Canis lupus familiaris: one gene and its partner. The protein of the gene in region 2 interacts with the protein of the main gene of each other region in a biochemical or structural test. Links are inferred from orthologs where the notes say so. Each region holds a gene or a part of one and is shown on either strand. Other genes may lie near its edges.

Region 1 (4,226 bases), on a different chromosome or scaffold from region 2:
AATACACGTTTGGGGAAATAAGCCCTGTGTGAAGGTAACATTACTATCACTGCTCAGAGTGCAGGGTCCCGGGCGCCCTCCCCAGCTCCTTGTCTCCCTGGGACTAGGGTTTGAGGGGGAAGTAACACTCAATTCATTTCTGGCCATGCCATGTTCCCGACACTGCAGGTATGTCTCAATTCTGACTTGGGTGCTGGTTGAAAGAATGGGAACACAGCTCAGCTGCACAAGGCAATCTCTCTCAGAAGATAACTTTCTGGAGATGGAGACCACCCATTTCTATCCATATCCATCAGGGGTTCAGTTAGTTTTGGAATGGTAACAAAACTGGCCACACTCTTGTTGGCTCCCTACAAAAACAGTCAATGTACCCCATCAGCGATTCCCCCCAAGTCATTCTTTTTCTGAAGCTGCATGTTCTTCAGGAACCTGTGTGCTGCCCAGGCACAAGCAGATCATATACACCAATGCCAAAGCTACTCTGAATCCAAGAGAACAGACTTTGTGCTTGAGAAAATATTTACTGCTGGCTCTTTAAAAAAGGTAAAGCCAGAGTAGACTCTTAATTCTTAGTTTATACTTTCCAGGTGAAATAGTTTTATACTTGTGACTCAAAACTAAAAATTCAGACAAGAGAAGCCCTTTATCTTGTAAACTTCTGATAACAAATTTATTACTAGTGTGTAAATATTTTGAAATTGCCCAAAGCACTAAGAACAATACTGGGATATTTGAAAAGGTTCTTCTGAAACTAAGATGACGACAGATAAAGCACAGAACACATTTCCAAGGGTATCAGCACAGGTCCCCAATGTCTCTGGAACCTTTCTTATTGTTTCTGACACTTTATCATAACTGTGTTTACACTGCAAACATATGCCAAATCAACCCAGAAAATAAAATAACCATCCCGAAGAGCTTCACTGTGCATAACTTTAAAACAGATAGGAAATGTTGAATTAGCATATCAGGAATTAACCAGACTTACAAGTGTGTACCTATTAGAAATTGTACCCTTTAGAAAAAAAAAATTTAAACTGGGAAGAAAAGGGGGGAAAAAAACCACCTTAAACCACCCCAAATTATTTAACCAGTAAAGCCAAACGGTTTAACAATATTTTGGGCTATTTTTAGGGACGACTCTACCACCAGGATATGAAATCTTCTGCTTAAAGTGAAGTAAAAGACAAAGCTTACAATGAAAACTGCAATTGACATACTCTGGTCCTGCAAGTAAAATGAAAGTGGCGGTTCCTATTCTCATGGGCATGTCAAAGCCGGCTGTGGAATGAGAAACACTGAGTGAAATAATGGATAAAATACACCAGAAAGAGTATTGCACGGGAGGCACTGTTTTAAAAACAGAATACACTGGCTTTATAAAGTTATTTTCTTTCCCATTAATTATTTTAAAAGCACGATTCAACGAGAGACAGAAGTTGAGACCCGATGTCTCTGGTAGTGTACTACAGTTGTTAAAAAAATAAGTTAAAAACAAGAGCACACCAACAGGAAAGCAGAGGTACTGGATTTATGTCATCCGAGAGCTACATTAATTAGGAAAGGAACGGTCTGAAACAGCCAATTTGTACTCATTAAAAATGAATGAGGTGACAGAGTTACTTTAAAAATCTCTTAGGGCATTTTCCAGTAGAACCCAGGACCCCCCTGGGTGAAACTGTGCCTTCAAACCTTAACAAGTGCTCTGCTGGTTTATAATGTCGTGCACGCCCATGAACCCATAAATTTGGAAAGGGTAAATTCTCCACTCCAGCCCTGCTTGTGTCATTTTGGAAAAACAATTTTTGTAAATTCAATATTGTATAGAAAGCTTGGACCTCTTAAACCTGGACCAAGAAACCAAATTAAGACCTTCAAGCATGTGGTGTGTGTGTGTTTATATATATAAAAAAGTCCCTCCCCTACCATGAAAACCAACCAACCAAACAAACAAACGAAAAACCTAAAAGTGTATACCTGCTTTCTGACTTCACAGCAAATCAGAAATTGCATAGGATATACTTTGTGCAAGGCAAAAAGCCTTTTAAGTATCTGGAATATAACTCCTAATCTTGCTCACAGTTCTGTGTACATCAGATATCATCAAATTTGTGTTTTAAGTAGTCTTTCATGACCTTGGCAATTGGTAGTTCATCAAGTAGCTTTAGGTTTTGAAGGCCTATACACTGTCGAATTTTAATTCGGCACAGGTCCTGCAAGTTTCTGGGCTGTCCTAAAAAGACAGAAAAAAGAAACTGTTACAAAGCTACACAGCACAGTATTTAAGGCAGGTTTTTGGGTTCTGAAAAGAACAGTTTGCTTCACCGGGACATGTCGCTTCCCATGCATGTGGACTTCCCATGCAAAGGACCAGACAGATTTTCACTGAGAGGACTTGGGGAGACTTCACGTGAGGTCTCATCAGATGCTTTTCACAACCCTGGGGTGATGGATATTTTTAACTCCATGTTACAAATAAGGACTCAAAGGATTAGGGATTTGAGCAAATTGCTCAATGTCAGGTGACCAATTTAAAGCTTTTTAGACAGAGACTAAAACCAGTTCTTCTGAGTCAAAGCCTGGTATTCTTTTTATTACAAAAGAGAATGGCGGTTTTCATCCTGGGATGCCTCTAATATGTTGAGTGAACCTAGGTAAGCAAATCATCCCTCTGGGCCAAAGTTTCTCCATCTGAAAAGTGGGGGGACCAAATGAGATGCTGTCTAATGGGGCCTCTCCTTTCAGCTCACTGTCTAGGACACTGGAGCCTAGACATATAGCATTATCTGCAGGGAACTTTCCCAAGTGACATCTGCCACCTGGTTGCCATGATTCTGGACATAGGAGACTCTTGGCTTTGGGCATGAGACTGGGGCGGGGGAGGTAGAAAAAGCACCCCAAGCTATTCTGAATCTATGTCTCTTCAAATCTCGCATCCCTCAGCATGTGCGAATAAAAACCACTGCTGTAACTTAACTCAAAAGAAAAATTACAAAAAATCAGTTTTTTCACTTTTGAAGACTGTATTTTACCAAAACGACTTAAATGACCCCAAACACAGGCAAGAATTCTAAGCAACAGTGCCTCAGTCATATCTGGACTCACATAAATTCTCCTTTCAGATTAAATGCTAACGAACGGCAAAAGCTGACATGTTGAATGCTTACTCTGTGCCATGTATCCTTAAGCTCTCCACATACACTAACTCGTTTCATCCTTTTATGAGGGAAGTACTTTGATCATCGTCCCCATTTTACAGACTCCTTGTGTCTCAGAGAGATTAAGTAACATGCTCAAAGTCAAGTAGAATGCCATACTTCAGCGATCTCAAACTTCTTGGTCTCAAATCCTCTTTGCATTTTAAAAATTTATCACAGACCCAAAAGAATTTCCAATTTTGTGGGTTATAACTATCAATAATTACCATATTAGAAGTTAAAGCAAATTTTAGAAATACTTATTCATTTAAAAAATAAAAATAAGCCCATTACACATGGCCATTGATAACACTGGTATAAAAACAACAGTATCTTAAAAAATAGTAAGAAGAATGATGTTCTTTCACATTTTTGCAAAATTCTTAAAAAGGATGTTTTAACAGATGACAACTGAGTTCTCATACATGCTTCTACATTCAATCTGCTGTAATAAAATCATCGTGTCTCTGGACAAGTCCACTTACACTCACGAAAGAAGAACATGAAAAAGGCAGATAATGTCTCTGTATTATGAAAATCATTTTGACCTCAGAGAGGTGAAAGGAGTCCCTAAGCCATACATGGTGAACCACTGCCAAAATTAGTGCTTCACCCTTTACTTGAACTGTCCTTGTTTATAGTAATCATCATTATTCAAAATTAAGTAATTCTTCATAAATGAAAAAGGCTCCTTAAATCTCTTATAAGGCCTGTGTGAACATGTGCTTTCTAAGAGTTACTTAACACATGGTTTTCTTTTAACAGAATTGTAGGAGCTACTGCTTTCCTAGAAATGCCTGTAAACCTGGAGCATGTGCAGCTACGGGTATCTGCACACCAATCTGTATGAGGCTGTGATACACACACACTCATGTGTCTCTCGCCAAGATGTGTCTTCTCCATTTTCCAGATGTCTGCTAAAAGGCACTTCCTTAAGGGTGACAAAGTCAGGTTCCCCATCAGATACTCCAGAGTTCCAGCACTTAATAAGACTGCACTTTTACATTTATTTGATGATTATCTATTAAT
Region 2 (5,551 bases):
CATGTGCATGGGAGCAGGTGTAATCTCTTTATTAATTCACGTATTCACTACCCTAGATCTTTTTTTTTTTCTTTGAGATTTTGTTTATTTATTCATGAGAGAGACAGAGAGAGAGTCAGAGGCAGAGGGAGAAGCAGGCTCCATGCCCGGAGCCCAACCAGGGACTTGATCCCGGATCCCAGGATCACGCCCTGCGCTGAAGGCAGATGCCCAACTGCTGAGCCAGCAGGCGTCCCTCACTACCCTAAATCTTAAACATCTCTTCATACATATCATTTTGAGGTTGAGCTGAGAGGGACAAATAATTCCCAGGGTAGAAACCTGAGGCTGAGGCTGAGTAAAGAACTCTTGTGCCTGAAACCTATATTTTCTGCTTCTGTTGTTATTCTGATGGAGGAGCAAGTAGTTCGATTGCTTTTTGTCTTGTACTGCAACAGCTTTCAAAATCATAATTTCGTGACAGGAAACTGAAGAGTTTCCTTAGGAGAAACCAACTTCCAATTTGCTAACACTGCCTGCGACGCTCATCCGAGGTTGGGGAAGCAGCAAGTGCTGGGTTTCCCTGCAAGGCAAGGCAGGAACGCAGGCTCCCAGCGCTTCTCTTCCTCCACGGGACTTTGCCACGACCTGCCCGGAGACAGGGAAGCTACTGGCTCCCGTTCTCCCACCTCCACAGAACCCGAGGCAGCCCCAGGGCCAGCAACTAGGCTTCCACCCGCACCAGCAGGCCTGAAGAAGACCAGGCCACCCTCTTCTCTCAGCTCTTCTTCACACAAGCCTCCCCACCCTTTCCCTCAGCACCGACCAACTCCCAGGCTCCTGCGCTCGCCGCGGCATTTATCCCAGCAACCGCTGACGCCTGCACACCTCAGGGGTCTAGGAAGTGGACCCCCAAAGCCCATAAATAGCCAAAATGATGGTTATCAACCCTGGAGACTAAGCTCGCCAGCCGGTCTTTTAAAAGTTTAGAACAGGGACCCCCGGTGCCTCAACGGTGGAGGTCGGCCTCCGGCTCAGGGCGTGACCCCGGGTCCGGATCGAGTCCCGCATCCGGCCTCCCGCAGGGAGCCTGCTTCTCCCTCGCCTGGGTCTATGCCTCTCTCTGTGTGTCCCTCATGAATAAATAAATAAAATCTTTAAAAACTAAAACAAAAAGATAAATGTTTAGAACTACTTCTAAAAAGCCCTGTCAGCTGGCGGCCCGGCCTATTCCCAGGCAACCCCTGGTAAACAACAAAGAGAAAATCTCGGAGGAGGGTTAAGCACCTCACAAACACAGCTCGCAGTGGGAGGCAGCAAGCTGCAAACACGCTCAAAAGCCCCCGAGGCACGCGGCAGAAAACTCGAGGCGGCAGCTCGAACCCCGAACCCCGAACCGACTGCCGCTCCGCATCCTCGCCCCGCAGAGAAGCCGGGGGTCAAGTACGCTCAAGCCCGCCCGCCTCCTGACATGGAGCCTCGCGGCAATCGGACTCAGACCTCCCCGTCCCGAAAGCCGATTCTCTTCACACCTCGGCTACCTCGGGTTCCGAATGCCCTCGCTTAAAGACGATGGAAGATGTACTGAGAGAACCTCAATACGCTAGAACAGCAATGTCCCGCTGCTTCCGTAACGTGTAAAAATCACAACCGACGAGACCTGGCAAACGCGGCGCTTGCACAAGGAGCAAACCTCCGGAAGCGAATTTCCTCAGGCGCAGCGCCAGTCTTCGGGCAGAAGGCTGAGCCGCGGCCCCACCGCCGGGGAGGGGGCGGGGAAGGGGAGGAGCTCGCCGGGCGCGAGGCCTACATTCATTGGTCAGGTCCGTCGCGCGCCGTCACGAGGCCCCGCCTCCTGGGGGGGGGGGTCTTCCGGGCACGCGCGCGCGCTCGCGGCTTCCCGGCTTCAGCCCTCCGGATGAAGTCTTTCTTAGTACTGCTCTCCGCACGGCCCCCACCTGCAGACTTCCGGCCGGCGGCTTTTCGCCGCCCCGCCCCCGAGGGCGGGATGCTGGTATCCACCAATCACTGGGCGCAGGTGGTCGGAGGGGGTGGAGCCCGAGAGATTCGAAAGGAGCCCCACCCCCTCGGGGCTGTTTCCCGGGGCTAAGCGGTGGGAGGCGGGCGCCTTCTGCAAGAGGTGAGGCGGGGCGGAAAGTGAAGACGGAGGGTGGCCTGGAGGTGTGGTGTGGGTGCGGTGCCGTGGGAGTGGAGAGGTAATTTGGGGAGAGGAAGAAGCGGAGAATGGTGGCGGGGAAGGAGATAGGGCGTGCAGGCCGCCCCCGTTGAGGAGAGGCCAGCTCGTAGCGGGGCGGCTGGGCCGCCTGAGGAGGGAGGGTGGCGCGCTCTCCGCACCTTCCCCGGAGGTCGCAGGGGCAGGTGCTACTCCTGGGAACCCTGCTTTACCCCCAGCGTGATCCTCACCCCTGGTTTGCACCCTGCGTGCAGCTGGGAGCCTCGGGCAGGATGGAGACCTGAAGCAAGGGTGCATTTTCTCTCCAGCTCAGGTCTCAGCTGACTCGCGCTCCTGCCGGCGGGAACATGGAAGATTTGGAGGAAGGTAAGGAAAGGAAGAAGGGAAGAATGAGGCGCTGCGACCGAGAGCCGTGGCAGCGACCGGAGGCTGGCATTCATCCCTTCCTCCCCCACAGATGTGAAGTTTATAGCGGACGAGACCTTGGACTTTGGAGGGCTGTCGCCGTGTGACAGGTACCGTCCTCTAACCTCGTTGCTTTCCTCCAACTATACCTCTTTGTCTCCAACCCCTTACAGCTGAATTACCGGCTTCAGGGGTCTGGGTTGGTGATGTAGCCAGGCTGGGTGCGGTGGGGCTGCTGAGTGACTTGTTGACATGGGCCTCTGTGACAGTGCTGGGGGAAGGGAAACGGATAAGCTGGAATGAGGTTTCAGGATGTTAAGAAGCAGGGTAAGTGGATTTGTTGCATCTTCATCCTGGCATCATTTCCAATGTTGCCAAGTGCTCAAGGCATATTAGGCCCCCTAGAACCGGGTGTCTGTCTCATCACCTAGAGGCCAGATCTCACAGCCAGCATGGGCATCAGGGTTTGGGGCTGTCTCCCTGGCTTTGTAGTGGCGTGGGGAGGTTGCCCAGTCTCCTTTGCACAGTCTCCTGCTCTCATCTGCGTGGGCGTGGTGCCTGGTTTGTTCTCTGTCTCAGTCGTGAGGAGGAGGAGGACGTAGCAGTGTTGGTGACTCCAGAGAAACCCCTCCGAAGAGGACTCTCCAATCGAAGTGACCCAAATGCAGTGGCCCCAGCACCCCCAGGGGTGAGGCTCAGCTTAGGCCCCCTTAGTCCAGAGAAGCTGGAGGAGATTCTCCACGAGGCCAACCGGCTGGCAGCCCAGCTGGAGCAGTGTGCCCTGCAGGAGCAGGACAGCACAGGTGAGAGCCTGGGGCCTCGCAAGGTGAAGCCCAGCCCTCGACGGGAGACCTTTGTGCTGAAAGACAGTCCAGTCCGAGACCTGCTGCCCACTGTGAGTTCTTTGACTCGGAGCACCCCCTCCCCAAGCAGCCTGACACCTCGACTCCGGAGCAGCGATAAGAAGGGGTCAGTCAGGGCTCTTCGGGCAACATCTGGAAAGAGGCCTTCGAGTGTGAAGAGGGTGAGTTTGGAGGGTCTGGGTTGGACATATGCCCTCAGATACAGTGTGTGATTTGGTACAGCCAGAGTGGTTTCCTTGTTGGTAAAATGGAGATAGTAAAATTCTACCTCAGAATTGTTGGAATTAAGCAAAATACCATAAGCAAAGCACTTACTGTATCACAGTGACTGCACATATCTCTATAGTGTTTTTTTTTTTTTTTCTATAGTGTTTATAATAAGCTCGTGATAAATGGTATTGGTGAGGATGATGATGTTGGCAAAAGTCTGCTCTTCCTTACTGGGATCTAGACAACTCTCCACCTCTTATTTCTCCAACAGCCAGCAGAACAGATTCTTTTTCCATTCTAGTCCTATTTTTTCTCTCTTTGTATTTCAGGAGTCACCCACTTGCAATCTGTTCCCTGGATCCAAAACCCCAGCGTCTTCTCCTCTTGCCCGATCCACTCCTCCAATCCGGAGCAAAGCTGGCCCCAGTGGGAGAGCAACAGCAAGTGAGAAGGCTTGGGCAGCAAAGCTGTGGGTGAATGTGAGGGGAAAGGATGTGAAGCTGATGCTAAAATTCCTCTACTCCTCTCCACCAGGTCCGCCTGCGCCTGTCAGGCCAGTCTTGGCCCCACAGCCTCCAACCGGCAACTCTCAGCGCCTCTCTCGGCCACAGGGAGCAGCTGCCAAGCCTTCCAGTCGACTGCCTGTTCCCTCGGCCATCCCCAGGCCTGCCAGCCGAATGCCACTCACCAGCCGGAGTGTACCACCTAGCAAAGGTGCCCTGCCTCCAGCCTCTCTGCCAACTCGGAAAGGACTTCCACGACCAAGCGCTGCAGGGCACAGAGGTGAGGAAGAGTGGACATAACAGTTGGAAATCAGGTGGAAGAATGCTTACCGTTGCCCAACTTGAATGCGCCGTCCCAGAGCTGGGCACAGTAACCACTTTCTCTGTCTGTCTTCATTACAACTCAATTTGAAGATGAGGATACTGAGTTAGAGAGAGGATGTGGGCCCGGGCAGAGTTTGAACCCTGGTTTTCAAATACATTATTTTTTTTTTTTTTTTTACCTTGGGTGGCAAGAAACTCACTCTGAGAAGGTCACTTGAACTCTCTAACTCATTTTTTTTGTCAACCCTCAAGTTCCTGTTACCCAGAGACTGAATCTTCCTGTCTCTGGTGCCACTCGTAGCAATCTGCAGCCTCCCAAGAAAGTTGCAGTCCCAGGACCTACCAGGTAAGACTGGTTGAGATGCTCTCTCTCCCCTGTCATCTGGGCTCCAGAAATGTTATGCGCATGAGCCCTGAGTCTTGTGTGGCAAGATGGGGATGAGGAGGGGAGCCTGGAGGGGTAGGGAGTCCCATTTCTTCCTTCCCTGAGAAACTTGAACTCAGCCGGGACAATTTAAAGCAGCTCTTCCTTCTGACTCTTTAGGTAAAGAGATCAGGACAGCAAGCAAGAATTCAGTAGCAAACCACTACAGTCACTGCCTGGGCTCACCTATACTCAGCCTCGCAAGCCCTTCCGTGGAAGACAGGCCCTGACTCTAGCAGATTCTGGCCCAGAAGCAGGAGGAAGAGATGCCACTAGGGCTGGTGCCCCAGGAATAAAGAGATGGGAGATGGGGTGGATTAGGGTTGAGCTGGAGGGGAATCAAACCCTGTGGGTCCAAAGAGGATTAGGGAAAAGAGGTCACCTCCCAACAGTGAAATAACAAGCAGAAAATGAGAAATGCGGGAGAATAGTCTGTCCTCATCCACCCCCACTCTTGTGTTCAGTCCCAGAGAGTTTGATAATCTTCCCAGGCATTGGTTCACTGGACATTTACATGTGAATGGCCTCTGTAGCTGGCCTCTGTAGCTAACCTCCTTGCTCTCTGAGGAGTGGCCCTGAATCACATCCTCTACTGGACGCAGGCCTGTTTGGAGAGGCAGAGGCAGGCACCTGGCCTCCAGAACTTGTT

The links.
Region 1: of the proteins of PSRC1 (region 2) and ASB7, one has a biochemical effect on the other in vitro, tested with the Homo sapiens proteins (2 studies listed by BioGRID, with this or other methods). The link is inferred for Canis lupus familiaris from reciprocal best matches to the Homo sapiens genes PSRC1 and ASB7.

What each region holds. Positions count from the first base shown.
Region 1 is NC_049224.1:40,738,800-40,743,025, forward strand, and holds part of ASB7 (ankyrin repeat and SOCS box protein 7), read right to left. Parts: intron 2,234-4,226; coding exon 2,094-2,233; 3' UTR 1-2,093. UniProt on the Homo sapiens protein: Probable substrate-recognition component of a SCF-like ECS (Elongin-Cullin-SOCS-box protein) E3 ubiquitin-protein ligase complex which mediates the ubiquitination and subsequent proteasomal degradation of target proteins.
Region 2 is NC_049227.1:42,995,143-43,000,693, forward strand, and holds the start of PSRC1 (proline/serine-rich coiled-coil protein 1), read left to right. Parts: upstream 1-1,891; 5' UTR 1,892-2,195; intron 2,196-2,481; 5' UTR 2,482-2,520; coding exon 2,521-2,539; intron 2,540-2,630; coding exon 2,631-2,688; intron 2,689-3,157; coding exon 3,158-3,602; intron 3,603-3,980; coding exon 3,981-4,095; intron 4,096-4,185; coding exon 4,186-4,434; intron 4,435-4,730; coding exon 4,731-4,824; coding exon of another isoform or gene 4,825-4,828; intron 4,829-5,022; coding exon 5,023-5,026; 3' UTR 5,027-5,551. UniProt on the Homo sapiens protein: Required for normal progression through mitosis. Required for normal congress of chromosomes at the metaphase plate, and for normal rate of chromosomal segregation during anaphase. Plays a role in the regulation of mitotic spindle dynamics.